2 linked regions of the Callithrix jacchus genome follow. The protein of the gene in region 1 binds, or shares a complex with, the protein of each later gene. Links are inferred from orthologs where the notes say so. Each region holds a gene or a part of one and is shown on either strand. Other genes may lie near its edges. The genes, in order: COP1 and TRIB1.

What was found.
Region 2: the proteins of COP1 (region 1) and TRIB1 are in contact, whole or in part, in a crystal structure (PDB 5IGQ), measured with the Homo sapiens proteins. The link is inferred for Callithrix jacchus from reciprocal best matches to the Homo sapiens genes COP1 and TRIB1. Residues at the interface, in NP_071902.2 of Homo sapiens: Ile423, Ser425, Val441, Lys472, Tyr491, Trp517, Asp534, Ala556, Asn557, Cys559, Ala576, Asp577, His578, Lys600, Ala601, Ser603, Thr618, Lys643, Asn644, Phe645, Phe699; in NP_079471.1 of Homo sapiens: Asp355, Gln356, Ile357, Val358, Pro359, Glu360, Tyr361.

Annotation. Positions count from the first base shown.
Region 1 is NC_133519.1:27,159,915-27,175,062, forward strand, and holds part of COP1 (E3 ubiquitin-protein ligase COP1), read left to right. Parts: intron 1-6,415; coding exon 6,416-6,533; intron 6,534-7,434; coding exon 7,435-7,559; intron 7,560-8,721; coding exon 8,722-8,882; intron 8,883-9,959; exon of another isoform or gene 9,960-13,952; intron 13,953-15,148. UniProt on the Homo sapiens protein: E3 ubiquitin-protein ligase that mediates ubiquitination and subsequent proteasomal degradation of target proteins.
Region 2 is NC_133517.1:71,930,253-71,946,015, reverse strand, and holds TRIB1 (tribbles homolog 1), read left to right. Parts: upstream 1-6,303; 5' UTR 6,304-6,861; coding exon 6,862-7,221; intron 7,222-7,669; exon of another isoform or gene 7,670-8,944; intron 8,945-9,557; coding exon 9,558-9,850; intron 9,851-12,261; coding exon 12,262-12,727; 3' UTR 12,728-14,659; downstream 14,660-15,763. UniProt on the Homo sapiens protein: Adapter protein involved in protein degradation by interacting with COP1 ubiquitin ligase. The COP1-binding motif is masked by autoinhibitory interactions with the protein kinase domain.

The sequences.
Region 1 (15,148 bases):
ACATCACATACCAGGCCTGTGAGGGGGTGAGATAGCATTAGGAAAAATTACCTAATGTAGATGACAGGTTGATGGGTGCAGCAAATCAGCATGGTATGTGTATACCTGTGTAACAAATCTGCATGTTCTGTGCATGCACCCCAGAACTTAAAAGTATAATTTAAAAAAAAGATTTGAAAGCAAACTATGTATCCATCAACAGATGAATGAATGAGGGAAATGTGGTACATATAAACAGTGAAGTATTATTCAGCCATTAAAAAAAAGAAAGATTCTGTCATTTGCAACAACATAGATAGAACTGGAGATCATTATGTAAAGCGAATAAACGTATAGAAGGACAAACGTTGCATGCTCTAACTTATTTGTGGGATCTAAAAATGAAAACAATTGAAATCATGGACGTAGAGAGTAGAAGAATGGTTATGAGAGTCTGGAAAAGGTAGTTGGGCTGTTGCAGGAGGTGGAGGTGGTTAATGGCTACAAAAAAATACACAAAATGAGTAAGACCTAGTATTTAATAGCAAGACAAGGTAGCTGTAGTTAATAATTTAATTGTACATTTTGAAGTAACTGAAAATATAATTAGATTGTAACATAAAGGGTAAATGCTTACGGTAGATATCTCATTCTCTATGATGTGATTATTCTGCATTGCATGCCTTTGTCAAAACATCTCATGTTCTACATGTGTATATACAAACTATATATTCACAAAAATCAAAAATAAAGTTTTTTAAACAAGTGTAGCACATACAGTTATGTATACTACACAATATTTTATAATCTTGTTTATGCATTTACTTTTTATAATTATAGAGTATTTTCTTATACTTGGTTTTTTTTTTTTTTTAGTTATAACAGCCATATAACAGTTATAACTGTATAACAGCCTAAGGTTGCCCTTCAGGGGACGTTCTAGAAGAAGGCACTGTTATCAGAGAAGATGGCAACTCTGTGCATTTTATTACCCCAGAAGTGCTGTAATTCCAGCACTGGATAAATAAAAGTGCTGGGAAGACAATGTGGCAATTAATCAAGGATTTAGAACTAGAAATACCATTTGACCCAGCAATCCTATTACTGGGTATATACCCAAAGGATTAGAAAAGACAAAACATAAAGGTGAAAACAGTAATATTGATTATTCTGACCATGTGTAGACCAAGCCTAATGTTCTATTTCTTAGTTTTGTGGAGTGGTTTGGGTTTTTTTTTTTGGTGGGGGAGGATGGAGTCTTGCTCTGTCCCCCTGGCCGGAGTGCAGTGGCGTGATCTTGGCTCACTGCAGCCTCCACTGCTTCCCGAGTTCAAGCTATTCTCTGCCTTAGCCTTCCGATAGCTGGGATTACAGGTGCCCACCTGTAATTACACCACCGCACCCAGCTATTAATTTTGTATTTTTAGTGGAGATGGGATTTCACCATCTTGGCCAGGTTGGTCTTGAACTCCTGACCTTGTGATACACCTGCCTCCGCCTCCCAGAGTGCTGGGATTATAGGCATGAGCCATTATGCCCAGCCCTATTTCTTAGTTTTTAACAAAAGAGTTTAAAAAGCTTTTTTATCTTAATTTTTTTAACTTACAAGGATATATAAAAAGGAAATACTTTGTACAGCTGTAAAATGTATGTGTGTTTTAAGCTAAGTGTTATAACAGAGTCAAAACGCTTAAAAAAAATTTAAAGTTTATAAAGTTAAAAAATTACATTAAGGTTAATTTATTACTAAATGAAGAACACTTTTTTACAGTAAATTTAGTGTAGCCTACATACACTATAATGTCCTAGGCCTTCATGTCTATTTACCACTCACTAACGCACCCAAAACAATTTTCTGTCCTGCAGACTTCATTCATGGTAAGGGCCCTGTATAGGTATACCATTTTTTATCTTTCATATTGTATTTTAACTGCACCTTTTCCATATTTAGATACTACATAAATATTTCCCATTGTTACAGTTGCCTACAGCATTCAGTATAGTAACATGATACATATGTTTGTAACCTAGGATCAATAGGTTATTCCATGTAACCTAAATGTGTAGTAGTCTATACCATCTAGATTTGTGTAAGTACACTGTATTATGCTCACACAATGACAAAATTGCCAAATGATACATTTCTTAGGATGTATCTCCATTGTTGAGCAATGCATTATTGTACTTACTGTTCAGCATCTCAAATCCAAAATCTCCAAATGCTCCAGTGAAGCATTTGGAGATTTGGAGCTCTGATTGTCATGTTGGCACTCCAGAAGCAAGGATTTGGGATTTTGGGGTTTCAGATGTGCAACCTATTAACAATTATATTAAATGTACGTATGTTGAACATTGTAACTTTCAGGGATTGGCAGAATGGGTTTACAAAAAAAAGTTAGAATCCAACTATATGCTGTCTACAAGAGATAGACATTAGACTTACAGACACAAATAGGTTAAAGTAACAGGATGGAAACAGACATACCATGTAAGTAGTAATCAACAAAAATGGTAGAATGACTGTATTTCTGTCAAACAGAATATACTTAGAGTAGAAATTGGTCTTAGAAACAAAGACATTTTATAATGGTAAAAGGATCAATAGTGAAAATATATATCAATTATCAATACACCTAAAAAACATTTTGTGGCTATATGAAAAGAAAATTCACAGTATTTTAAGGAAAATAAATAATTTGACTGAAGTTATGGAAAACTAGAATACTTCACTTTTGATTTTTCATGGCAAAACTGGACAAGAAATCAGCAGACTTGAATCACTTTGTCAACCTGACACAACAGACATCCATAGACCACTTCATCAGTAGAAGAACACACATGTTTCTCCAGCAAGTGTTAAACAGTCTACAGGAGAGACCGTATTTAGACCGAAAAGAGTCAATCAATTCAAAATAATTGAAGACATACAAAATAGTTCTCTGACCAAAATGGAATTAAATTAAAAATCAACAATAATAGTTCATTTGGGACATCCGCAATTATTTGGAAATTACATGACACATTGCTAAATAACTTGTTAGTCAAGAAATAACAAAGGAAATGTAAAAGGTTTTTAAACTGAATGAAGATCATATCATAATTTGTGGTATCAGCCGAAGCAATGTTTATAGAGAATTGTGTATTCTCAAGTGTCTGTCTTTAAAAAGAAAAACAAAGCTAACTGAAGACAAGCAGAAGTAAGGAAATAATAAAGATTAGAGTAGAAATTAATGATATAGCCAAAAGAGAAATGATAGAAAAAATTGTTAAAACTCGTAAGTTGATTCTTTGAAAAGATTAGCAAAATTGACAAACCTTTAGCTAGACTGAGGAAAAAGAGAAAACACAGCTAAAGTTAAGAATGAAAGATGACACATGACCACTGACTCACCTTTCATAAATTAAGAGTTATAGAAGTATACTCTAAACAACTGTATGCCAACTTAGTAGTTCAGTAACTTATTCAGTTATAAAACTTACTCAAAACATAGATGGAGTAAAAAATTCCTAGAAAGGCACAAATTAGCAAAACTAACTTAAGAAATAGAAAATCCGAATAGACCTTTGATGAGTAAAGAAATTGAATAATAATTAGCAGTCTACCCAAAAAACAAAACCGAGGTTCACATGGCTTTACTGGTGAATTCTATCTAATATTTAATGAAGAAATAATACCAGTACTTCACAAACTCTTCCCTGAAACCAAAGCCAATGATATCACCAAAATAGAAAAACACAGACCAATATTCTTCAAGAGTATAGGTGAAAATGTCCCCCCAAAAAATCTGCTAACCACATCCAACAGCACAAAATATATGTGTGTTGTGTGTGTGTGTATACACAAACATATATGTACACACACACACACGAAAACAGAATTTATACCAGAACTGCCAGATTTAACAATCAAAAATCAGTTATGTAATTCATCCTGTTAGTAGAATGAAAAACTAAAACCATGCAAACATATTATCAGAGACATAGAAAAGGCTTTTGACAAAACCCACACCGATTGATAGTAAAGATTAACAAACTTGGCATAGAGGGAAACTGGAAAATTTCCTCTGCCTGATACAGAGCTTTTCTGAAAATCCAACAGTAAGGTCATACTTAAATGGTGAAAGACTGAATGCTGTTCTCCCAAGATCAGCAATACAAAGGATTTTTGCTCTTACCTCTTCAGCATAGTAGTAAAGGTTCTAGCCAATACCCTAAAGGCAAGAAAAGGAAATAAAAGACATTTAGATATGAAAGCAAGAATTAAAAAATCCTATTCTACAGATAACATTATTTTATGTGTTGAAAATTTTAAGAAATGAATTTTAAGGAACTTTTAGGATTAATAAAAGTGTTCAACAGAGTCATTGAGTAAAAGATCAATATACAAAATCAACTGTATTTCCATACATGAGCAATGAACAATCCAAAAATAAAGAATATGATTCAGAATAACATAAAAAAGAATATAGAAGAAATTTAACAAAATAAGTGTAAGAGTTATACACTGAATATTACAAAAGAAACTTTTTGAGGAAAATTAAGAAGATGTAAACAAATGGAGAGATATTCTATAATCATAGATTGGCAGACCCAACATTGTTTGCCAATTCTCAAGTTGATCTACAGATCCAACTTAGTCACTCTGAAAATTTCAGTGGGTGGCAGGGCACTGTGTCTCATGACTGTAATCCCAGCACTTTGGGAGGCTGAGTTGTGGGAATCACAAGGTTAGGAGTTTGAGACCAGCCTGATCAACATGGTGAAAACCCATCTCTACTAAAAATACAAAAACTAGCTGTGAGTGGTGACATGCACCTGTGATATCAGCTACTCGGGAGGCTGAGGCAGGGGAATCACTTGAACCCAGGAGGATAGAGGTTGCAGTAAACAGATTGCACCATGACACTCCAGTCTGGGCAACAGAGCGAGACTCTGTCTAAACAAACAAACAAAAATTCATCAGGCTTTTTTGCCAAAAAATACTAAAATTTATATGAAAATGCTAAAGACCAGGGGAGCCTAAACAATTTTGGAAAAGAACAACAGAGTTGGAAAATACTTCTTCCCAATTTAAAAACTTAAAGCTAGAGTTATCAAGACAGTTCGTACTAGTAGAATGGTAGATGTATATAGATCAATTGGTTAGAATTAATAAACCAAAAGTAAATCCTTATTTATCATGAATTCATTATCAGCAGAGGTGCCAAGGAAATTCATTCAGTAAAGGACAGTCTGTTCAACAAATAGTGTTAGTAAAACTTGATGTAACGTCACAGCCTTAAATGCAAGAACTAAAATAATTTTAGAAATAGGAGAAAATCTTTAATACCTTGGATTAGTCAAAGATTTCTTGTTTGCAACATAAAAAGTGTGGTCTAGTAAAGAGAAAAAATGAAATTTCACATCCAAGATTCAAAACTTTTATTCTTGAAAACATACCATTCAGCAATTATAAACAATAGCAACAGAATGTTTGAAAAAAATTATAGAACATACATCTGAGAAGCGTCTTGAATTCAAATATTTTTAAAAATTCACGTAAACTGGAACCCTCATGTGTTGCTGATGGCAATAAAGAATGATGCAGTAAACAGTCCATTTCTTAAAACGTTTAATATTACCATGTGGCCCAATAACTACTCTTCTAGGTATCTACCCAAGAGATATGAAAACATGTCCACATAAACACTTAATTGTGATTTTTCATGTCAGCATTATTCATAATAATAAAAAAATGGAAACAAATGTTCATTACCTAGTTAGTTGATTGACAAAATGTGGTACATTCACATGGTGGATACCATTCAGCAATAAAAAAGAGCTGCTAACACACATTGAAAAATAGTTGAACCTCAAATCAGAACATTATGCAACATGTAAGAAGCCATACACAGAAGCTACATAATATTTATATAAAGAATTTATAGAGACAGACAGGAATAGAGGTTACCTATGACAGTAGATGGCAAATGAGTGATCTTAATTGGAATGCAAAAATCTTCTAAAACTGATTTATGGTGATGGTTGAACTGCTGGTAAAATTTAGTAAAGACTGTTGAACTACATACAGTATTTTCAGCAAGTGTATTTTATTATATGCAAAATATATCTTAATAATCGTTTTTTAAGGCAAATGTGGGAAATAAGATTATATAGCATTATGTTTATCCACATGTCCCAATGTTTATATTAACATTTTTTAATGAAACCATTAAAACATAAAGATTGATTTTTAAGTTGTCTATTATTTTGAACCCCTGTTACTCTCTTTTTAAAGCCAGTCTTATTTTTTGAAAAGGATTTCTTTTCCAGTTTTCTGGCTGTTAGAGGTTAGATATTATATGTGAAACTTTTAATGAAAAAAAAAAACAGTTAAAATTAACTTTACTTTCCATTTCTGTATTTACTGCATTTATCTAATTTTGTTTTGTTTTAGATCACTGTGTCCATTACTATGATCTTCGTAACACTAAACAGCCAATCATGGTATTCAAAGGACACCGAAAAGCAGTCTCTTATGCAAAGTTTGTGAGTGGTGAGGAAATTGTCTCTGCGTGAGTATTACTCTATTCAGAGGTTGAGCTTAATACAGAGCTCTGTACTTAACTTACCAGTTTGTAATGTCACTGAGGGTGTATGTAAAACTATAATATTGGAGTATATGTACTTTTCTTAAATAGTAGATTTTTGATGTCTTGTTCAATTAAAAATGTTTGGGTTCAGGTCTGTATTACACACTTTTATGTGTAATTTGTGGATAAAATCTGAAGATACTAGCTATTTATATACCTCCCCCCTTATCTAATCTTCATATGTTTAATTGCATTTGAACTTCGGATTACATTTTAGCTATTGCTTCTCAAGAAGAGATAAACAACATAGTCGATGGAATGGAATGAGAAGTATTTTATTTATTAAAGTCAACTAATACTACATATTTTATCTACTTACAGTATAGTCATAGAACTATTTTTGGTTTTAAATATCACTTGGTTGGCTTTTACACTGACATGTTCATTTCTCTGTGATTTCATGGTGAGCTTTTTTTTTCTGGGACAGATTCTTACTTTGTCACCCAGGCTGGGGTGCAGTGGTGTTGTCCCAGCTTACTGCAACCTCTGCCTCCTGGGTTCAAGTGATTCTCCTGCCTCAGCCTCTCCAGTATCTGGAACTACAGGTGCATTCCACTACACCCAGCTAATTTATGCATTTTTAGTAGAGACAGGGTTTCACCATATTGGCCAGCCTGGGCTCGAACTCCTGACCTCTGGTGATCCACCTGCTTCAGCCTCCCAAAGTGCTGGGATTACAAGTGTGAGCCACCATGCCTAGTCAACAGATGAACATTCTAACTCAGTCTGGCTCCAGAGCAAACTGTATTGATTCTAATTAGCAGTGTTGAGTTTCGTGACAAGAAATTTTAACTATGTTCTTACTCTTTGTACTTTTCCTCAGCTCAACAGACAGTCAGCTAAAACTGTGGAATGTAGGGAAACCATACTGCCTACGTTCCTTCAAGGGTCATATCAATGAAAAAAACTTTGTAGGCCTGGCTTCCAATGGAGATTATATAGCTTGTGGTAAGTGAAACCATCATTTCCAGGAACTTTTTAACAGGTATTTGAAATTCAACTCAATGGAAATAGACTAAATACTAAGGAAAAGGTCTGTGCACTCAGAAGATAGTATAATAGGCTTCATGCCCCAGCACTATTGATTTTCCTCGTGTAGTACTAGAAGAGCATTAGTCCTTCTCTTTTTTATTGTGTACAAACCCTGAACACCTGAAATAGCACAAAATTTTTAACTGTTTTACTGTCGTTCTCTATTATAACATATTCTTTAGATATTGTTTAGGAGACAGAAAAGATTAAGTTCTGTGAATAATATTTCCAATTTTGGAGACGTTATATGTCTTCTAAACTTGATATTCATTTTTCCCTATCTGCTGTTCTCTTCATGAAGTAATCTATTTGCTTAGCATTGATCTGTTATTCTAGGACTTTTATTGTTGATAATTTATACAAATTTAAATAAGAAGTAGAAAAATGAAATTTGATATTTGAATGCTCTGATATGTCTAATGCGTGAATATATGAGCTTTGATCATTACTTTTAAATGACTTGGTCTTTATTCAGCACAGTTTACTTTCTCCAAGTATGTATGAGAATGCCAAAGCAAATATCTGCAACAATTCTCCTATCTTAATAGATGGCTCAAAATTACAGTTCATAGACCATTAATAGAATAATTCCTATACTGAGAAATGGAAATAAATTGTGTATGCTGTTAAAATTTGCCTATGTAAGTGCTGCCACTTCCTTTTACCTCTCTAAATGGAAATCTTTCTAAATATAATTTAAGATCCTTGCTGTAATAACATATTTCTGATTCTACTATAGGCTTATTATCAGGTAGGTACAGAAGCAATTAAAAGTAATGACAAAAACCACAATTACTTTTGCATCAACCTTATAAATGATTTTATAGGGTAATTTCAGCCTTAAAATTATCAATATTATTATACCATTTAACACTGATTGTTTCTTTAGATTAGTAAAGTATACTTTTGTCCAAGAATCCTTTTCTTACATAATTTCTAATTAGTCCTGTGATCTAGCCTTTCAAATTTGCCCATAAAAGATCTTTGACCTAAAACTTTGGGTGATAATTTCTATTGGAATGTGATGTTCTAATTCCAAGTTTTCCTATTCTAAAATATTATTATTGTTTATTTTCAGGAAGTGAGAATAACTCTCTCTACCTGTACTATAAAGGACTTTCTAAGACTTTGCTAACTTTTAAGTTTGATACAGTCAAAAGTGTTCTGGACAAAGACCGAAAAGAAGATGATACAAATGAATTTGTTAGTGCTGTGTGCTGGAGGGCACTACCAGACGGGGTAAGTTTTCATATTGCTTTTTCCACCTTGGAGTCTCATATCATGCATTATGAATACACAGGGTTTAATTAAGTTTTAAAATATAAATTGCTGTGTGATATGTACTTTTTTTTTAAGTTTATATATAATGTGTCACCAAAGACAATAGTCATTTTTAGGTAGTGATTGAAATGCACAGTAATAGAGCAATGTCATGGTGTCATTGTGTCCCTCTGTGACCCGTAGCATCTAGTGTATATCTCAGTTATAACCATTATCATATTTTCTCTTTATATCTCTTCTATAAGACTGGAAGTTCCTCCAAAATATATACTGTCTCATCTTCTTTATTGATTATGTGCAGTATATGCTGGATAAACATTAAGCTGAGCTGGTATGTTAATAAGAAGAAAAAGAATTGATCTAGGTAAAGGAGAGTGGCCTCTATGTTCCTCTAATTAAATACTATTTCAAAGTAGAATTACTCTCTATAAAATACATTTATATACAAATATTTAAGCATGTTAAGTTTCTTAATGAGAAAATTATACTACTGGGTTGTATAAAGAGAAGTTGCCTTAAACTTTACTGTTACATTTTAAAGTGTAGGGTTTTCCATAAGTTGTATGAAAAACTAATTTTTGTTACTATCTTGATTTATATAAACATGAATTGTTAGTATCGTATTTTTAAAATAGCTTTTTACATGCTTAGTTGGTTTCATTTTTGACAAAGAAATTCTGACTTGATATGTAATTTTAAAATTCAAATTTCAGATATAGTTTCACTTTAATTAGATATATTCTATTGCTGGGTCCATTTCCAGTTTTGCTAATTGACATACTAGAAAATTTGGACCAACTCTTCCTCCAAGTAGAATTAGAAAAGTAGGACCAAATGTATGTATTTTATAAACAGGAACCTATTTGAAAGCATTAGAAAGCACACAAATACAGGAAAGAATGACCAGATTAGGATTGTGGCTTTTGAATCTGCTTTTCCCCTGTGATCATTTGTCAGTTTTGGTGGGGTGGGTGAAAGCACTTATATTAGCTTCACAGGGTTGCAGGGACTGGAGCTCAGCACCTGTCATTGTATGGTTGACTACTTTAATCCCCAAATGGATATAGTATAGGGGAAACCAGTAGAAGATAAGCCTTCATAGCGATTGCATCTAAACTGCATATCAATCTCTGAAATTGAATTGAAGTGACCCTTGATTGGTAATATCCACTGGATGCAAACTTAAATCCTCTCTGAACAAAGATAAGATAATCTAAGGGCTTAACTTATTTTTTTTCAGTTTTGTAACTACAATAACTAGGGTACAATCAAAAATAAATAGACACAGTAAAAGATAAGACAGCATGAATTAAACCAGCATAAGCAACAGGCTATAGAAAATAATATTGTCTGGTAACTCCAATATTTAGAGCTGCTGTGACTCTAAATATTGGAGTTATCAGACAGCTTGAAAGTAATTATGCGTACAACTTGAAAGACAAGACTGAAAATTTTAACTGAGAACTGGAAATAATTTTTAGAATGAAAATTCTAGAGTTGAAAAAAAATTACAAAAATTAAGAATTAGTGGATGTGTTGAATGGAAGACAAACTAAAAATAAGAATTAATGAACTGATAGGTAAATTAGGAGAAAATACACACATGGAAGCATAGGAAGACAAAATGATGGAAAAGTACAGATGGCAGATAAAGGATCAAGTAAGAACCTATAACATATTCAATAGGTGACCTACCAGGAGACAAGAGAAAGAATGCAGCTAGAGCAAATATTAGAAGGGATTATTGTTGCTTTTCGATCCGCCATCTGCGCCTCACGTGGGGCCGCCACCAAAATGCAGATTTTCGTGAAAACCCTTACGGGAAAAACCATCACCCTCGAGGTTGAACCCTCGGATACGATAGAAAATTTGAAGGCCAAGATCCAGGATAAGGAAGGAATTCCTCCTGATCAGCAAAGACTGATCTTTGCTGGCAAGCAACTGGAAGATGGACGTACTTTGTCTGACTACAACATTCAGAAGGAGTCTACTCTTCATCTTGTGTTGAGACTTCGTGGTGGTGCTAAGAAAAGGAAGAAGAAGTCTTACACCACTCCCAAGAAGAATAAGCACAAGAGAAAGAAGGTTAAGCTGGCTGTCCTGAAGTATTACAAGGTGGATGAGAATGGCAAAATTAGTCGCCTTCGTCGAGAATGCCCTTCTGATGAATGTGGTGCTGGAGTGTTTATGGCAAGCCACTTTGACAGACATTATTGTGGCAAATGTTGTCTGACTTACTGCTTTAACAAACCAGAAGACAAATAACCGACTTAATAAAAGACATGAACTAAAAAAAAAAAAAAAAAAAAAAGAAGGGATTATTGTTGAGAACATCAGTTGATCTGTGATACCAAGGCAGAGATTCAGTAAGCCTTTCAACTGCAGAGAAGGAACGACTAGAAATCTACAGTGTGATTGAAGGTAGAACATCATACTGAAACTTTGAACATACGTAGGCCTGCCTGAAAATCTGACCTTGGGTCCGACTTCTTATAGCGCTATTTCCTTGTAAACATCCTGAGTTAAGAGAAATATGGAATGTTATATGCCAGGAACTAGCTATCTCTTAAATTTACTAAGAAAACTTACCTGCGACATCACACCTGGACTGAGTGAGAGAACTCTGAATTGGCATAAGGGCCCTACATCTATGAAAATTGAATAGTGTAAGATTGGCAGGTAACCAGGGCACATCTGTGGATTGAGGTAAACCACATGCATCTCAACTGTCTCTGGCAATAGTGAGTACTCTTCGTGTATGTGGGGGAATGATTGTTTGGCCTCCTTAAGAGTTTTAAGATACTGTGTGCTAAATTCTATCCTGTATCCTTCTATAAATCTAACTGAGGGCTAGATTAAAGCCTCTTGTATCTGATCCTATGACCTCTGCCAGTGGTAGGATTGGTCACACCTTGCAACACAGTAAAATTGCTGAAAATAGCTAAAATACAAAGAGAGTGTATTAGTCAGTTTTCATGCCACTAATAAAGACATACCCAAGACTGGGCAGTTTACTAAAAAAAAAAGAGGTTTATTGGACTCACAGTTGTGGCTGAAGAGGCCTCACAATCGTGGCGGAAGGTAAAAGGCATGTCTCATATGGCAGTAGACAAATAGCTTGTGTTCCCTTTTTAAAACCATCAGATCTCATGAGACTTACTCAATATCATGAGAATAGCACGGGAAAGACCTGCCCCCATGATTCAAGTACTTCCCACAGGGTCCCTCCCAAAACACATGGGAATTAAACATGAGATTTGAGTGGGGACACACCCAAACCATATCATTTCACTCCTGGCCCCTCCCAAACCTCATGTCCTCACATTTTAAAACCTATCATGCCTTCTCAACAGTCACCAGAGTGTTATTTCAGCTTTAACTCAAAAGTCCAAAGTCCAGCAGCTCATCTTAGACAAAGCAAGTCCCTTCTCCCTATGAGCCTGTAAGATCAAAAGTAAGTTAGTTAATTCCTAGATACGATGGGAATGCAGGCATTGGGTAAATACACCCATTCCAAATGGGAGAAATTGGCCTAAACAAAGGAGCTACAGGCCTCATGAAAGTCCAGAATCCAGTGGGGCAGTCAAATTTTAAAGTTCCAAAATGATCTCCTTTGACTCCATATCTCACATCCAGGTCATGCTAATGTAATAAGTGGGTTCCCATGGTCTTGGGCAGCTCCACCTCTGTGGCTCCCAGGGCACAGCCTCCCTCCTGGCTGCTTTCACAGGCTGGCATTGAGTGTCTGTGACTTCCAGGTGAATGGTGCAAGCTGTCAGTGGATCTGTCATTTTGGGATCTGGTGGATGATGGCCCTCTTCTCACAGCTCCACTAGGTGGTGCCCCAGTAGGGACTCTGTGTGAGGGCTTCAACACCGTATTTCCTTTCTGCACTACCCTAGCCGAAGTTATCCATGAGGGTCCCATCCCTACAGCAAACTTCTGCCTGGATATCCAGGTGTTTCCGTACATCCTCTGAAATCTAGGCAGGGGTTTCCAAACTTCACTTCTTGACTTCTGTACACATGCAGGCTCAACACCACATGGAAGCTGCCAAGGCTTGAGGCTTGCACCCTCTGAAGCCATGGCCTGAGTTCTATTTTTTCCCCTTTTAGTCATCACTCGAGTGGCTGGGACATGGGACACCAAGTCCCTAGGCTACACACAGCATTGGAACCCTAGACCCGGCCCAAGAAGCCACATTTTTCTCCTAGGCCTTCGGGCCTACTATGAGTGGGGATGCTGTGAAGACCTCTGACACAACGCTGGAGACATTTTACCCATGGTCTTGGGGATTAACATTTGGCTCCTTGTTACTTATGCAAATTTCTGCAGCCAGCTTGACTTTCTCTCCAGAAAATGGGATTTTCTTCTCTGTCACATTGTGAGACTGCACATTTTTCAAACTTTTATGCTGTGTTTCCATTATGAAACTGAATGCCTTTAATGGCACCCAGGTCACTCTTAACGTTTTTTCGCTTATAAATTTCTTCTACCAGATAGCCTAAATCATCTCTCTCAAGGTCAGAGTTTCAGAAATTTCTAGGGCAGGGGTAAAATTCCACCAGTCTCTTTGCTAAAACATAACAAGAGTCATCTTTGCTCCAGTTCCCAACAAATTCCTTATCTCCATCTGAGACCATCTCAGCTTGGATTTCATTGTCTATATCGTTATCAGCATTTTGGTCAAAGCCATTGAACAAGGCTTTAGGGAGTTCCAAACTTTCCCACATTTTCTTGTCTTCTTCTTAGCCCTCTAAACGGTTCCAATCTCTCCAACCTCTGCCTGTTAACCAGTTCCAAAGTCACTTCCACATTTTGAAGTATCTTTTCAGCAGCCTCCCATTTCTGGTACCAATTTACTATATTAGTCCATTTTCACACTGCTGATAAAGGCATACTTGAGACTGGATAATTTATAAAAGAAAGCGATTTATTGGACTCACAGTTCCAAGTGGCTGGGGAGGGTTCCTAATCATGGCAGAAGGTGAAAGGCACGTCTCACATGACAGCAGAAAAGAAAAGAAAGCTTGTTCAGAGAATCTCCCCTTTTTAAAATCATCAAATCTCATGAGACACATTCACTATCACAAGAACAGTTTGGGAAAGACCTGCCCTCATGATTCAGTTACCTCCCACTGGGTCCTTGCCACAACATACGGGAATTTAAGATGAGATTTGGGTGAGGACACACCCAAACCATATCAGAGTAGTCTTTTTCATTCCTTTAAACCATCAATTTCTTTTCCTTTTGGCAAATAACTGTATTTGTGGAGTACAATATGATATGTTCATGTACATTATGAAATGATTAAATCAATCGCATTGTGAGGCTGCAAATTTTTTGAACTTTTGTGCCCCCTTTCCCTTATGAAACTGAATGCCTTTAGCAACACCCAGGTCACCTCTTGTATACTTTGCTACTTAGAAATTTCTTCTACCAAATACCCTAAATTCTCTCTCTCAAGGTCATAGGAATGAGCATATCTATCTTCTCACATACAGATTCTTTTTTAGTGGGAACATTTAAAATCATATTCTCTTAACAATATTGAAATATCCATTATACTATTATTAACTACAGTTACTCTGCTATGCGTCTCAAAAACTTTTTTTTTTTTGGTCTAATTAGCTGAAAGTTTAGAGCCTTGGGCCAACATTTTGGCATCCTCCCACTCCCATCCCCCGCCTCTGGCAACTACCATTCTATTCTCCATTTCCCTTGAGTTCAACTTTTTAAGATTCCTCATATAAATGAGATCATGCAGTATTTCTTTCTTTGTGTGGTTTATTTTACTTAGCATAATGTCCTTCAGGTTCATGTAAAGCTGAATAGTATTTCATTATTTATATACAGTTTAACCTTGAATGACATATGGGGGAAAGGGGCACTGACCTTCCACACAGTTGAAAATTTAGGTATAATTTGATTCTCTGACCCAAAAGCTTAACTACTAATAGCCAACTGTTGATTGGAAATCTTACCAATAACATAAATTGATTAACACACACTATATACTATATTTTTACAATGAAATAAACTAGAGAAAAGAAAATATTAAGAAAATCACTAGAGAAAATATATTTACTATTCATTCAATGAAGTGAATCATAAAGATCTTCATCCTCATTATCTTCACATTGAGTAGACTGAGAAGGAGAAGAAATAGGTGGGTTGGTCTTTCTCTGGAGTGGCAGAAGAAGAAGAAAATTTGCATATAAGT
Region 2 (15,763 bases), on another chromosome or scaffold:
TTTCTTTATCCAGTCTATCATTGATTGGCATTTGGGTTGGTTCTAAATCTTTGCTATTGTGAACAGTGCTGCAATAAACATACGTGTGCATGTCTTTATGGTAGAATGATTGATAACCCTTTGGGTATATACCCAGTAACGGGAATGCCAGGTCAAATGGCATTTCTAGTTCTAGATCCTTGAGGAATCACCACACTGTCTTCCACAATGGTTGAACTAATTTACACTCCCAAGTCATTCTCCTGGCTCACCTCTCAAGCAGCTGGGACTACCGGCACACGCCATCACGTCTGCCTAATACTTGTATTTTTAGTAGAGACGAGGTTTCAGCATGTTGACCAGGGTGGCCTCGATCTCTTGACCTCGTGATCTGCCTGCCTCAGCCTCCCAAAGTGCTGGGATTACAGGCATGAGCCACCTTGCCTGTAACAGGGGTGGAGGCCAGGCTCAGTGGCTCACACCTGTAATCCCAGCACTTTAGGAGGCTGAGGTGGGAGGATTGGTTGAGCCCAGAAGTTTGAGACTAGCCTGGGCAATCTCCACAACAAAACAAAACTGCGTAGGAGAGGAAAACTAGGCCATTATTAGGCCCATTTCACCAGTGACACAACCGAGGCTCATAAAGAGCCACTGGCTTCCTCAAGTGAGTATGTGAAAAGTCTGAGGGAAGTTCAGTCCAGATTTTGTTGTTAGTGAAGCTCTCTGTAAAGAAATCAAGACCATTTTAGCTGACTTATGCCTCAGCCTGCCTGATCTCAGGCCTTGCCAAAGGTCCATGTCCACTTTCCCCTGAATGCAGGCTGGGAGCCCCCCAAGCTTAAGCCCCTACACTCCACCTCCCATTACCTCTCCAGGGCCAGACATTGAACTCTGAAATCCGACTCCTACTTTCCAGCCCCCATCTCTGTTGGAAGGCCAGTTTTTCCTCTCCATCTGTCATCTCAGGCTCTTCCTATGGGTGACCCTTTGCCCTGGAGTGCATTTATTCGGTTAACACTTACTAAGCACCCCCCTTATTTTTGGGAGATGGAGCTCTGTTGCCCAGGCTGGAGTGCAGTGGTGAGATCTCGGCTCACCACAACCTCCCCCTCTTAGGTTCAATCGATTCTTGTGCCTCAGCCTCCAGACTAGCTGGGACTACAGGTGCCTGCCACTACCCCCGGCTACTTTTTGTATTTTGAGTAGAGATGGGGTTTCACCATGTTGGCCAGACTGCTCTCCAACTCCCAACCTCAAGTGATTCACCTGGCTGGTCTTTCCAGAGTGCTGGGATTATAGGTGCGAGCCACTGTGCTTGGCCTTAGTCCCTTTTTGATAATGGACACTGGGCTGGGGGCTGGATGAACATGAATGAACAAGACACAACCCCTGACCTCTGGGAACACAGTTGTGTGGAAAGGGTTGTGGGATTGGCTTGACAGAGGACTCGACAGCATTTGGTAAGACACTGAGATCTGACTGCAGGTGCTGGGGAAATCCAGATGGTGTTTTGAAGGATGAGTAAGAGTTCCTTTTCTTGGAAAAGGAAGAGAGGGAATTCCAGTGGGAGGGACCAGCACAGGCTGGAGCGCAGAGGTGTGAATTGGCAGATTGATGAGTTTGGGGCCCTGCCAGGAGCTGGCATGGGTAGGACAGAGGGGAGGAGGTGAGAAAGGTGCGGGCTGGAAGGGAAGCGGGGCCTGGAAGAGGGCCTACTTTTCCATACTTCGGTGTTTGTATTTTATCAAGGGGTGGGGTTCCCTGCAAGGTTTTAGGTGAGTGCCTTATATGATCACATTCAGATTTTAGGAAAATGACTAACAGCTGTGTGGGAATGGATCAAAGGGATACAGGACATACTGTATTATATGCATCACTGTGTCTCCAGAGCTTAGTAGGTGCTGGCACAGAGTAGGAGCTCAATGTTTGTTATACAGGACATACTGTATTATATGCATCACTGTGTCTCCAGAGCTTAGTAGGTGCTGGCACAGAGTAGGGGCTCAATGTTTGTTGAAGGGATGAATGAGTGGCTCCGTTAGGAGCTTACAGCAGGAATGCAGGGGAAGGTTGTGAACTAGGACTATAGAGGTCTGCATGTGGGAAAAGGATAGGGTTTCTATTAAACAGGGTCTGGGCAGAAAAATGGAACTCAGGCCAGGAATTTCAGTAGAAAGAATTTATGTGGGCTGGGTGTGATGGCTCACACCTGTAATTTCAGGACTTTGGGAGGAGGCCTAAGCAGGGAGTTCACGAGGTCAGGAGTTTGAGACCAGCCTGGCCAACATGGTGAAACCCTGTCTCAACTAAAAATGCAAAAATTAGCTGGGCACGGTAGTGCACGCCTGTAGTCCCAGCTAGTTGGGAGGGTGAGGCAGGAGAATTGCTTGAACTTGGGAGGCGGAGGTTGTGGTGAGCTGAGACTGTGCCACTGCCCTCCAGCCTGGGTGACAGAGCGAGGCTCTGTCTCAAAAAAAAAAAAGAAAAAAGAAAAAAGAATTTATGTGGAGAACTAGTTACAAAGGTATAGAAAGGGCAGAAACAAAACGGAACAAAAGATGGTGCTGGGGGCCACCCAGAGGTTAGCAGCATCTGGAAGCAGCTGGAGGGACAAAAGTGGTTTCGCCTGCTCCCAGAAGCCAGAGTCCTCGGAGTGAGCTTGGACCATGAAGAGGGGGTGCCACGGCTTGAGCTCCCCAGGAAGCCGACTCTGAGATGCAGGCCAGCCTGCGGGAGGTTTATTAGGGGATACCATGGGAAGAAGGCCAGGAAGGAACAGGATTGGGCAGAGGAAAAAGCTGGCCTGTGATGCAATTTTAGGAAGGCCTCAATTGACCCAGTCTGGGAGCTCTGAAGCTGGGATGCCTTTGAGAGGTGGCCGAAGTTGGGACAAGGGGACCTTTATTCTCCCATGATCAGCAGTCACTAGATGTGGACCCCTTGGGAAGGGAGTGTGAACTCCAGCAAGGTGGCTCTTCTCAGTCAAGGCCATTTCCGAAACAGCTCCTGATAAGCACTCCCAGCAGCCGGGGAGATACCTTCTCCAGTTGGGCAGTGGGATCCGGCGGCAACGCAGAGGGGCTGCCTCCCCGGAGCCCCAGAGGAGGTGTGGCCGGCTGCTCCAAGCAAAAAGTAGTTCTCTCCTTCCTCCCGCCTTCCAATCTCCCTCCAGGGCCTCCCACTGGGAAAATTGGGCTGGAGGCCAATGGGCAAGAGAGCCTGAGAAGCAGAGCTAGCAAGGGCCAGCCCCAGGGAGCTGAACAGAGCGGGGTACGGCACAGCACCGAGAGCTTGTAGGTCTAGGGTAGACTATGGGAGAGAGGAAAAAGGCAGATTGAAGGGGAACCTACAATGAGTGCCTGTGATTCTGGCCCCCGGGTGGGTGGGGCTGGGTGGATGGTGGCATGCCTTTCTCTCAGAAGAGGCAGAGAAGGAGGCACACGTTGGGGAGGAAGATGCTCCAGGGCCATATTGACATTGCCATTCAAGTACTGGCAGCTCAGTGGATCTTAAATTCTGGCACAGAATTATCTTCGAAGACAAAAAAACCTTAAGTGGGGCCGGGCGTGGTGGCTCAAGCCTGTAATCCTAGCACTTTGGGAGGCCAAGGTGGGTATATCACTTAAAGTTAGGAGTTCGAGACCAACCTGGCCAACATGGTGAAATCTCGTCTCTACTACATGTATAAAAATTAGCCAGGTGCGGGGTGCCAGGTGCCTGTAATCCCAACTACTTGGGAGGCTGAGGCAGGAGAATCACTTGAACCTGGGAGGCAGAGGTTGCAGTGAGCCGAGATCAGGCCACTGCACTCCAGCCTATAGGCAACAGAGGGAGACTGTTTGAAAACCAACCAACCAACCCACCCACCCTGAGGCGGGCTCTCTTCTGGCCACAGGACCAAGTGCAACATGGCCTTCAGGCCCTTCCCAACATTGTCCCAGGCGATCCCTGCAGGCTCAGCTCCCACCACCATTGTAGTTCCCCTAGCCTGCCCACTCTGCCAGCCCTGCCTTTCCTCACACCCCTTGGCTGGCTGGCCTGGCCTCCCACCACTCATAGCCTCCCTTGAGCATCTCCCTTACAGTCCTGCACCTCTCCCAGGTCAAATGGTTTCCAAAGAGAGTCCTCCCTCCCTAACTCCTGTTTTCCCCTGCAAATTGTAATCTCTCCTTCCAGCCGCCATAAGTGCTTAGGAGCTTGGCTGGGCCATCCCTTATGAGTTACTTAACTTCAGCAAGTAACTTCGTCTTTCCTTTTTTTGAGACTAAGTCTTGCTCTGTCCTGAAGGCTGGAATGCATTGGTTTTATCTTGGTTCACTGCAACCTCTGCCTCCCGGGTTCAAGTGACTCCCATTTCAGCCTCCCCAGCAGCTGGGATTACAGGTGTGCCCCACCACACCCAGCTAATTTTTGTACTTTTAGCAGACAGGATTTCACCATGTTGGCCAGACTGGTCTCAAACTGCTGACCTCAGGTGATCCACCCACCGTGGCCTCCCGTAGTGCTGGGTTTACAGGGGGGAGCCACCTCACCTAGAGTGACTCATCTTCCTAAGGCTTCAGTTTCTTCCCTGTGAAATGGGGCAAAAAATAACCCCATAGTGTGGTTGGAAAACTGAAGTAATATATGTAAAGTGCTAAGAATAGTGTCCTCACACATTGTAGGCCTCGATTCATATTGGCTATTATTATTTTAATTTTCTTTTTTTTAAAGATGGGGTTTCACCAGGTTGGTCAGGCTGGTCTTGAACTCCGGACCTCAGGTGATCCGCCCGCCGTGGCCTCCAAAGTGCTTGGATTACAGGCGTGAGCCACCACGCCCGGCCCTATTATTTTAATTTTCATCTTCTGGTTCCCAGTGTTTAGCTTTTAGTAGATGCTTAATTAGTATTTGTTGAATGGAGAACTAATCAGGAAAATGATTTATTCTTGGGGCTCAACCTGGTTTTAGAAAATTAAGTATTTAGCAGAAGTGCGAGGAAGAGCTCTCTGATAAGTTATATTGTTGGGTGCCCAGGGACTCCAGATTGACATGGTTCTCTAAAGAAAGAAAAACGACAGATTCCAAGTTGTTTCATGCACAACTTTCATGATCACCCAAATCAAGCGGCATGAATGCACGCACACCACCTGGCGGGGCTGCCCGGCTGCAGGCGGTATCCCTGGCAGTGGCCAGGACTTCCACAAGCCTACCCACCTACCCGGGTTGGCACTGAGGACTTAGACCCAGCAGCGCTTGTGGAGGCTGGGGAGGGAGCAGGAATCCGGCGGCAGCCACGTGGGCCCCTTCCGCCAGCTCCCCACATCCTTTGTTTCCCACTGGCCCTGGCTCAGGAAGCTCTTTCTGCGAGTCACTGCGAAGGGGCGGCCCGGGAGCCAGGAGAAGCTATTTCCGTGCAATCCGGGCGGGCGGCAGGCGCGGGGGATTGGCGGGGCGGCGGGGGGGGGGGGGGCGTGGAGGTGGAGGCAGCGCAGAAGGCCCAGTGTTTGCTTTTCTTTCATCCAACAGAAGGTTCTATTTGTGGAAGCGAACAGACGCTGGGGATTAGAGCTGGGAGGGAGCAGGAAAAGGGGGGAAAAAAGCCACATCCATTACCACGCACAGGTCTTCCCCGGAACTACCGCGTGGGGGTGAATGACTGATTCTGGAATTCATCACCTCTCTATCCCCCACTTCCTTGGCGGCGCCCACGGCTCCAACCGGAGCTCCCCAAGCGCTGGGCGGTGGGGAGATCCCCGGGGCCAAAGGCGTCGCCGCGGGGCTGCAGCGAGCAGCCGGTGCAGAGGACCGTGGTGCGCGCTCCCGCTTCGCGCCCGCAGCCCATTGTGCTTGCTGTGAATGAGGCGCGCGCACCAATCAGCGGTCGCTTCTCCCTCCACCCCCCGCCCACTTCCCGGGACCCTGACGTCACGGGAACTTTTCCTCCGCCCCCTCCTTCGGCTTCTCGAGCTGAGCCGGGGGCCGGCCGGAGGGCGCGCACCGCCTGCTGCCCAGCCCAGCCCAGCCCAGGGGGCGTGTGCGCGCGCCCAGGCTGGCCCGGGGCGCACCACCTGCGCCCGAGCGTGCGCTGCCCGGAGTATCCCCTGCCCTCGGGCCACCCCTATCCCCCCAACTCCCGCTCCTCCTCCCCTCCCCCCAGTCTCCTCCCTCCGCTCCGGAGACGGCTCGCCGGGCGGCGGGGCCGGAGTCGTCGCAGCCACCTCATTGCACAACCCGGCTTCCCAACTGTTTACACAGCCCGGCCTGTGAGTGTGTGTGTATACAGCGTGAGTCACCGGGAGGCGGAGGAGGTGGAGGAAAAGGAGAAGGAGGAGTGCACTGGCCGGGATCGGTGCAGCGCACACACTCACTCGCAGTCACTCTCTCTGAGCGCGTCTCGCTCGCTCTCACACACGCCCGGAGCCCAGGAGCGCGCGGGATCCCGAGCGCCGCGAAAAAGTTCCCCCGGCTTGCGCTCGAGACTCATCGCTTTGGGAAGTGCATTTGCTTCGTGGCTCTGCCGAGTCCTGTCCTCGCGGCTCGGGACGCCGGGATCGCCGGCCGCCGCCGCCGCCGCTTCTGCCTCCCGGACTGTCTGTCGGCAGCCTCGGCAACAATAGTGGCGGCCGCCCCCAGCGAGGCTCCCGGAGCCCTTGCCTGCAGGGGTCGGGGGACCCGAGCCGGCCTCTGCTTCCCGGACTCACAGCCTGCGTGGTCCCCGCGTGCAGCGCGAACGCCGGGGAGCGACTCCTGCTTTGCCCCTCGTGGGGGCCGAGCCCAGCCCCATCTGCAAACTCCATCCCCACGGGTGGAAGAAGTCGCGGCGCCGGCGCCAAGCCCGCAGCGCCTTCCCGCGCGGATCCCGGGACTTACAAAGCCGGGGCTGCTCCGGCCCGGGACGGGATGCGGGTCGGTCCGGTGCGCTCTGCCATGAGCGGCGCCTCGCAGCCCCGCGGCCCGGCCCTGCTGTTCCCGGCCGCCCGAGGTGTTCCGGCCAAACGCCTGCTGGACGCGGACGACTCGGCGGCTGTGGCGGCCAAGTGCCCGCGCCTCTCCGAGTGCTCCAGTCCCCCGGACTACCTCAGCCCCCCCGGCTCGCCCTGCACCCCGCAGCCCCCGCCTGCTGCGGCGGGGGCCAGCGGCGGCTCCGGGAGCGCCCCGGGGCCCAGCCGCATCGCCGACTACCTGCTGCTGCCCCTAGCCGAGCGCGAGCATGTGTCCCGGGCCCTGTGCATTCACACTGGCCGCGAGCTGCGCTGCAAGGTAGGCGCTCCCGGGCCAGGACCCGGCGGGGTTCTGAGGCTTGGGACAGGGTGGTCGGCAAAGGTGCTTGGGGTCCGGCCAACGCTTGAACTGGGCACAGGACGGATCAGTGGATTGGGTCCGATAAGACTGCTTTTGACCAGGTTCACCTTTTTGTGGATTGGGCGGTTTCCCATGGAGTGGGTTAAGGGGGCTCCTAGAGGAAGTGCAGCGTTCAGTTGCTTTCTCTCTCTGATCCTTTCCTTAGCGTCTCAGGGTAGCGCGTGGCGTTCCATATAAGTTGTGGAATTGAAATGGATTCCAGGGCCATGCCATTCCCCTTCTCTCATTATCCTCACTCTCCACCTCCCGCAACGCTCCCCCCCCTCCCCGCCTTGTCCTGGAAGGACGCCCTGCAGTGGGTGCCTCCTGGGAGCTTGAAGCAGCTGGTAGCTTTCTTGCCCGGCTTAGTTGTAGGTGGTAAGGGGGCTGGAAGACTGTGTCCGGCTCCTGCCTTGGGGATTCCGAATTGACTCCGCGCGGCGACTAGAACACGCCCTCCCAAGGGAGCAGTCCCAAAGCCTTCCACCCGAGGCAGAGGAATCTGTGCGGAGTAGAACTGTTGGAAAGCCCACACCGGCCAGAAACCCTCGCTTCGATTCACTTTATTTTCCAGCCAGCGATTTTTCCTTTGAACCTGGGGATCCCATCCAGGAGGAGGAGACACAGCACCTAGAAATGGGATCCGCCGAGTCCTCCTCCTGCGCCTGTAGACGCAGAAGGTTCCCACAGTCTACTTTCTGCGAGCCTGACACCCCTGTTTGAGTCACCACAGAGCACCCTCGGGCTGCTCCTTTTCACCCGAAAGATAGGATCACCCCCAGTTAAGCCGCTTCTGGGTTTTCCGCAACTCACCTGACACTCCCAACACCCGGACCCTGTCCCGGGGCTCGCTGCTGCCACCTACTGTCCAACTTTAATGAAATTTCAAACGCACGATCAAGCCTAGTTGAATAGGCGGAAAAAAAAACCCCCCTTTTCTTCATGACCGGGGTTAAGAGCTGTTCTGGGAGAGGCATGTGTGTGTGGTGGGATGGGGTGGGGTGGGAGGAGGGGGCAACAGGGGCTTTTTCTAGCTGGTGCCAGAGCAGCCAGGCCTCAGAGGTGGGGTGAGCCTGGCCATTGTGCAACCCTTCCAGTTCCTCTGAGCAGATAATAGCTGAATCCAGATGGTGACAGCCGTGTGTCACCGTTTCCAGTTGAGTCTAGGATATGAGTAACTGGACTAAACAAAAGGCCTTTAAAGGACCAGCCAGCTTTCTAGAAGAGAAGAGATACTACTCATTTCTAGGGGTGGGGTCGGGTGTGTGAGGGGGATAAACAAACAAATGAAAAAGCCTTTCTCGGGATCCCTTACCCCTCCTGTGAGAATTGTAACTCAAGGCTGCTTACACTTGAGTCAGACTCTAGGCAGGTTGCTTAAGGCTGCATTGTCCCTGCCTCCCCCTCCGAGTCATCTGCTCTTTCTGATTAATGACAACTCTGCATGTTCTCTGGCCCCTGCTTCCCCTTGGAGGCTGCAGAGTCACCACTTTCTGTGCCCTTTCTGTGCTGAGCACGTTGGGTCTGCAGGAGGCACATGTATATGCATGTCTGGGGTCCGCTTTTCAGTTCCTGGACATGCCAGGGGTGTCCTATCAGCCATTCACGAATGTAGCCTGCAAACAGGGCAGGGCCAGTGAGGGTGAGGGCTTTGCTTAGCTGTCAGGAGCTGATGGAAGACGGGAACATGTACATAAGACAGTTTTTTTTTTTTTTTTTTTTTTTTTTTGAGATGGAGTCTTGCCCGGTCCCCCAGGCTGGAGTGCAATGGCATGATCTCCGCTCACTGCAACCTCCACCTCCTGGGTTCAAGTGATTCTCCTGCCTCAGCCTCCCAAGTAGCTGGGATTACAGTCACCTCTCTCCACGACTGGCTAATTTTTGATTTTTAGTAGAGGCAGGGTTTCACCATGTTGGCCAGGCTGATTTCGAACTCCTGACCTCATGATTCGCCTGCCTCGGCCTCTCAAAGTGCTGGGATTACAGGTGTGAGCCACTGCGCCCGGCCAGAAGACAGTTCTTTCAAATAATCTGTGTGAATGCAGGAAACCCTTTCAGTGTTTGCAACTCTAGAGCCCTAGGGGTTACTGGTTTTAAAGGCGTTGCTAGCCGCTGTGGCTTTGGAAGGTAAAGGGGAGTAGATGAATGGAACTTACATCCTAAGCCCAAAGGTTGAGAACTTCGGATCAGCTCGGTAAGGGGTTTGGGAGCCACCTTTGCTGTTCTACCTCTAAATGGACCCCTTCTCTCTGCAGGTGTTCCCCATTAAACACTACCAGGACAAAATCAGGCCTTATATCCAGCTGCCCTCACACAGCAACATTACCGGCATCGTGGAAGTGATCCTTGGGGAAACCAAGGCCTACGTCTTCTTTGAGAAGGACTTTGGGGACATGCACTCCTATGTGCGAAGCCGGAAGAGGCTGCGGGAAGAGGAAGCCGCTCGGCTCTTCAAGCAGATTGTCTCCGCCGTCGCCCACTGCCACCAGTCAGCCATTGTACTGGGAGACCTGAAGCTTAGGAAGTTTGTCTTCTCCACGGAGGAGAGGTGAGCGGCCGCCACGGCTTCTCCTGTGGCCTTTTGGAACCAAATGGAAGGAGCAGGTCGTGTAGTTAGGTGCTGTGTGCTGGTGCAAAATGAAGTCGAGGGTTCATATGTCCCAGATTTAGTATTTAGAGCTTCTTTTCCTAAGGAGTCACAGCCAAGGTTGGTTTATTCTGCATTCTCTTGGATGGGGCCTGGGGGCACTGTGGCACATCTGTGGGATGGCACGTGTTGACAGGGTGCCCTCCCCTCTCCTCCCGCAGGATCAGGTTCATTCGCCATTGTTATCAGAAAGGTCAGCTGTTTGGGGTACAAATATTAAACCGCCCTTTACAATATTGCCTTCTAAAGGAAGTGTTCAAATCTGCTTATGCCAAGTGTTGCTTTGTACCTAGAAGGTTTCGCAGAGCTAGTGAGACTGTCATGTTTGCAGAATTCCCAGCCTCTTCTTTCACACTGCATTCCTGTCCCATCTCAGACCGGGTCCTCCGTACTCGCTTCACATTCTCTGGTGACTTTTTAGACATCTTATTTGGATACGTCTTCAGAAAATAGCCACACTGAATGATAAATGGAAGTTGGCTAGGATGGATTGCTAAATATAGATCATAGCTTACCTCATAAAGAACAAGATGAGCTTGATAAGAGGGTAATGAGGCATTAAGATTCAAAGCTGAGGTTTCAGACTAGAGAATTCAGGAAGCCGCATGAGATAGACCACACTTGATTTTAAGAGCCGGGGCCACATCCCTTGTGGAAAGATTAAGAGCAGTGAGACTGTAGTGTTGTAGAGGTGAGAGAGTGAGTTATTTTGTTGTAAGAAGTGGGCTTATTTCACCTGTGCATTTTTACCTTTGATTCCAGAGCATATGAAACAGTACAGGGTTGAGCTGTCATAAAGCATGAGTTGGTATCTGACCTCGCAATAATTATTGGAACATACTGATTAGCAAAGCAAAGCAAACTGTTGGCAGTGAAGAAGTTTCTAATTCCTAGAATATGCTCCTTTGATACGGTGATGCACTTTCTGAAACATGCCTTACACACCTCCTAACTAGCTTTTGAAATCCGCATTGCACAGGCGAATGTCATGGGCATGGGGTTTGGCAACCTGAGGGTTAAGCAATGTCAGGCTGACGCTATTCATGTAACCAGCACAGGTGCAGGGTTTTAGTGCTGTAGCAGCCAATCATGGGGAGACAGTGTGGGTTGAGTCATATTTTCCGTTTACAGAACCAATGGGTATTTTACATAACGACAGGGAGGTCACGCTGAGGACATACTGAAGTTAGCACATGTATACTACACTCCAGGGAACAGGAAGGCAGGAAGAAAAAAAAAATACCAGACCTTTGAGAGGAAAAGGAATTGACCCATCAGCCAGTACCAAATGTTTGCATTTAACTTCACTAGTGACTTACTGAAACAGGGCGATTTCAGAGAAGCAGGCAGAGGCAGGGTGTCACCAGATATTAGAGCTTTCCCACCTGGCTTTGGGCTTTGGGGAATCCAGGAGACATGGGTGGTTGGTTCTGAATCAGGAGGCACCTGCAGCTTCATAAGAGAGCCTTTGACTGAGGTTTCTGGGACTTTCGTAGTTACCTGAAGACAGACGCCCCTGTAGAATAAATATGCCCACATGTTAATGTGCCGTCGAGGGGAGTGTGTGTCCCTATAGAAGAATTTCCGGGGCCCTGCCTCCCTGAAATCCCTCATACTTTTGTTTGTGGGCATAACCTCTTTGTCCAGGCAAAGTGTTCTTTGCAGTTAAACACCCCAATAAATGTAATTAACATTCCTTACAACTTTCCCATCATAATTGTCACAGCCTGGGCCTAGGTGGACAAAGTTCATTCTGCGTGCGTGTATCAGTGTGGGCACCCGCGCTGAAAACCTGTGTATGTAATAGCAGTGACTTTAGGCTCCGTGTTCTGTAATGCAGTGTGGGTCCAGGGAGCCCCGGCAGTTAGCGGCATAAGAGAAAAGATGGGCTCGTAGGATGCTCAGGCCCTCCCTGAAGAAGCAAGATCTGCTGCTCTTCCCTGATAGCTTTTGTAGAGAACGCAGCACTCCCCTGAGACAAGCTCCCAGTTCTGCAATGCGAACTTAGTAGATTGTGTAACTCCTATTAGGATATCTCTTGTAAGCTCTAGCATTATGAATACTATTTGGGGCTTTGCATCATACCCTCCACCCCAGGCGCTCTGTCGATACTTTGCAAACATGTATTGCAGTTTGTGTTGGTTTGTGAAATCACGAGTCCCCAGCAGTTGCAGGCGCTGCTTACTGGATGAAGGGGTAAATAGCATTCCTTGAGCCTTTGCTGTTAGTGCCTGTGGGCGCTGTTATTGGGAAGGCTTTGTTTTTCATAGCAGCTGGTATGGCAATAATGGCTCGGTTCCTCTCTCTTGCAGAACCCAGCTCAGACTAGAAAGTCTGGAAGACACACACATCATCAAGGGGGAGGATGATGCTTTGTCAGACAAACACGGCTGCCCAGCCTACGTGAGCCCTGAGATCCTCAACACCACCGGGACCTACTCTGGAAAGGCTGCGGATGTTTGGAGCTTAGGGGTGATGCTGTATACCCTTCTGGTTGGACGATACCCCTTCCATGACTCGGACCCCAGTGCCCTTTTCTCCAAAATCCGGCGTGGACAGTTCTGCATTCCTGAACACATTTCCCCCAAAGCCAGGTGCCTCATTCGCAGCCTCTTGAGACGGGAGCCCTCTGAGAGACTCACTGCCCCCGAGATCTTACTGCACCCCTGGTTTGAGTCCATCTTGGAACCTGGGTACATCGACTCAGAAATAGGAACTTCAGACCAGATTGTTCCAGAGTACCAGGAGGACAGTGACATGAGTTCCTTCTTCTGCTAATCCCCAAAACCTCAGAAACCTCATAATTCTTACACCTGGTATTTCCATTTCTAAAGATGGACAGGCCCTTTGGCATGGTATCAACCAGATAATGACTGCGTTAGGATGAAGGCTGCTGAACTCGGCATGGCGCCACCTCTTATCTGTTGGGAGGAGTGACTTTACTGATGTGAGCGGCATACGCTGTGATTGGCTGCCCTGCAAAGTTATTTCTCTTAAGGAACTCTCGCCAACTCTCTGCTGGATTTGGGAGTTCCGCACCTTTTACGGATGGCAGGAGTATGGACATCCTACACCCGGTGGTCAAGTGTGTCATAAACTCGAGCATTTGAATGGGAGAAAAAGCAGATCGTATGATGACATATTTTGGGCAATAACCGTATTTTAACAGGGTGACACATTGGGCCGTTCAGTCTGCCATCTTTGAACTCATCTCTGGTAGCTAGACGTGCTACCGCAGCTTCTCTGACGGGAAGGTTCCTTTTTTGATTTAACACTCACCCATTCTTCACACTCACATTCAATGACTCTGCTCCGTTTTTGGAGCAGACCGTTTTAAGTTGCTCAGGAGCTGATGGAACCATGAACCCAGACTCTCCTCTGTTTCCTGCCAAGACCACATCTGCACTAATGCCTTCTCCCTGACCTTGACACTTTCCCCCTCTAGCTATGAAAGCACTTACCAGCCAAACGTGGACAGCATCGCAAAAGATTCCACCTCCCCACGATTTCAGAACTCTGAGGTCAGACAGAGAGACTCCAGATTTTAAGAAATAATATGAGTGCTTGGAAACTATTTGCTTTTTAAGTTCCTTCTAAATATGTTAGTACCTACCCTTTTTACCCACCCTTTACTTTTTCCCCAAGACCATCTCAGGGTGGAGCGTTCTGTCTAGGAGGAGGAAGATAAGGAGGCTCCTACCCACCTCTCCCAAAAGCAGACATTAAACATCTCTGCGCTTTGAAGAGAGTGAATTTCGGATAGTCTTCTGATTCTCAGACTAACTTCCAGAAGTACACTTAAGCCCTCCCAGACATGGTCCGCCTCTGGCGTTGTGTGTGCAACTGCAGTTTTGCATGATGGGTTGTTGATATTTCAGATGTGTGGTTTATGAATATATCTGTATAATCGGCTTCTGGAGCGAAACAGCAAACCCCAAATCTTTAAAGTTGGAAGGGTCTTCAGCAATCATCCGGTCCAATCTCTTTCCTCTTTCTGCCACCTCCCAAGGCAGAAATCCCCCCTTCAGCTTCTTTCGTAGGTGGGAATCCAGCCTCTGTTAGATACGTCCAGAGATGGGAACTCACTCCCTCCAAAAGACAGAGCTTTAATGGAGAAACTATAACTTCCATTAAAAAGCAAGTTCAGATGAAATATCAGTAACTGTCTTGGACAGTGCTGAAATCAGGTGGTTAAACGGGTAAACAAAAACATACTGTATTTTGAGAAATGGCACAAACATAGGCAGTCATCCTTAAGGGCTACGCCTAGGCAAACTACTAACATGCATTGTGAGAATGCCGTGTATACCTCACGTACTGTGTACTTTGTAATACATTTTACCTTTTATACCTGTGTCCGATTTGTTGTGTTTTGTTCTGGCTTTGAGGCTTGTTTTGTTGTCTGTGTCTGTCTGAATCACCTGCGTGTCTAAAACCACGTGAAATGTGAATGATTATTGGCAATATTACCTTGACAGAATCATGGGACTTGGAGAAGTGGGGACAGAGGCCTCTGTCTATAATGCTCTCGTGGTTGCTCGACTGTTGTATCTGTGATACATTATCCGGCTAAGGACGCTGGGTTGGCAGGGGCTTCTGCCGGGAAAGCTAGAAACACTAGGTTCTTCCTGTACATATGTGTATATATGTGAACAGTGAGATGGCCGTTTCTGACTTGTAGAGAAATTTTAATAAATCTGGTTTCGTAAATAGGTGTGGTGAATTGCTTTCGAGTTCAATCTGCTTTGCTTTATGCAGCTTCACCCAGAGGTTGCAAAGGTCTCCGGCCTCAGGGCTTACCATCTGGTTGGGGATGGGCAGCAAGGGGAAGGTGGAAGAGGAGACATGTTGATGGTGATCAACAGTGACCTTTGTCGGACTTGAACCCATTTGCTTTTGTCTTTCCAGTGGGCAGATTTATTTTGATGGGATGGAGTCCATTTGGTGACACCAAGTTGGTGGGTGCTTTGGATTAGATTTAGACTCAAAAAACATTTTTTATTTTTATTTATTTATTTATTTATTTATTGAGACGGAGTTTCGCTCTTGTTACCCAGGCTGGAGTGCAATGGCGCCATCTCGGCTCACTGCCTCCTGGGTTCAGGCAATTCTCCTGCCTCAGCCTCCTGAGTAGCTGGGATTATAGGCACACACCACCATGCCCAGCTAATTTTTTGTATTTTTAGTAGAGACGGGGTTTCACCCATGTTGACCAGGATGGTCTCGATCTCTTGACCTCGTGATCCACCCGCCTTGGCCTCCCAAAGTGCTGGGATTACAGGCGTGAGCCACCGCGCCCGACTCATTTTTTATTTTTTTTATGCTCTCTTTATTTTTATAAGACAGGGTTTCATTGTATTAGCCGGCTGGTCTTGATCTCCTGACCTTGTAATCCACCTGCCTTGGCCTCCCAAAGTGTTGGGATTATAGGTGTGAGCCACCGCGCCCAGCCTATTTTTTATGCTCTAAGCAGAATCAGAATCAAGAAATATTTGAAGATGAGCATGCATAAATTAACCTTGAGTTCTAAAAATCAACTTGTCTGTTTTGGGCCATGGACCCCTGGGAATTTGAGAAAGCTGAGAACAGTGTCACGTGCATAAAACAAAATTTTGGATTGGCTGCCGTGGCACATGCCGGTAATCCCAGCCCTTTGGGAGGCCAGGGTGGGCAGATCATGAGGTCAGGAGTTCGAGACCAGCCTGGCCAACATGGTGAAAACCTGTCTACTAAAATACAAAAGTCAGCTGGGCATGGGGGTGGGCGCCTGTAATCCCAGCTACTTGGGAGGCTACGGTAGGAGAATCGATTGAA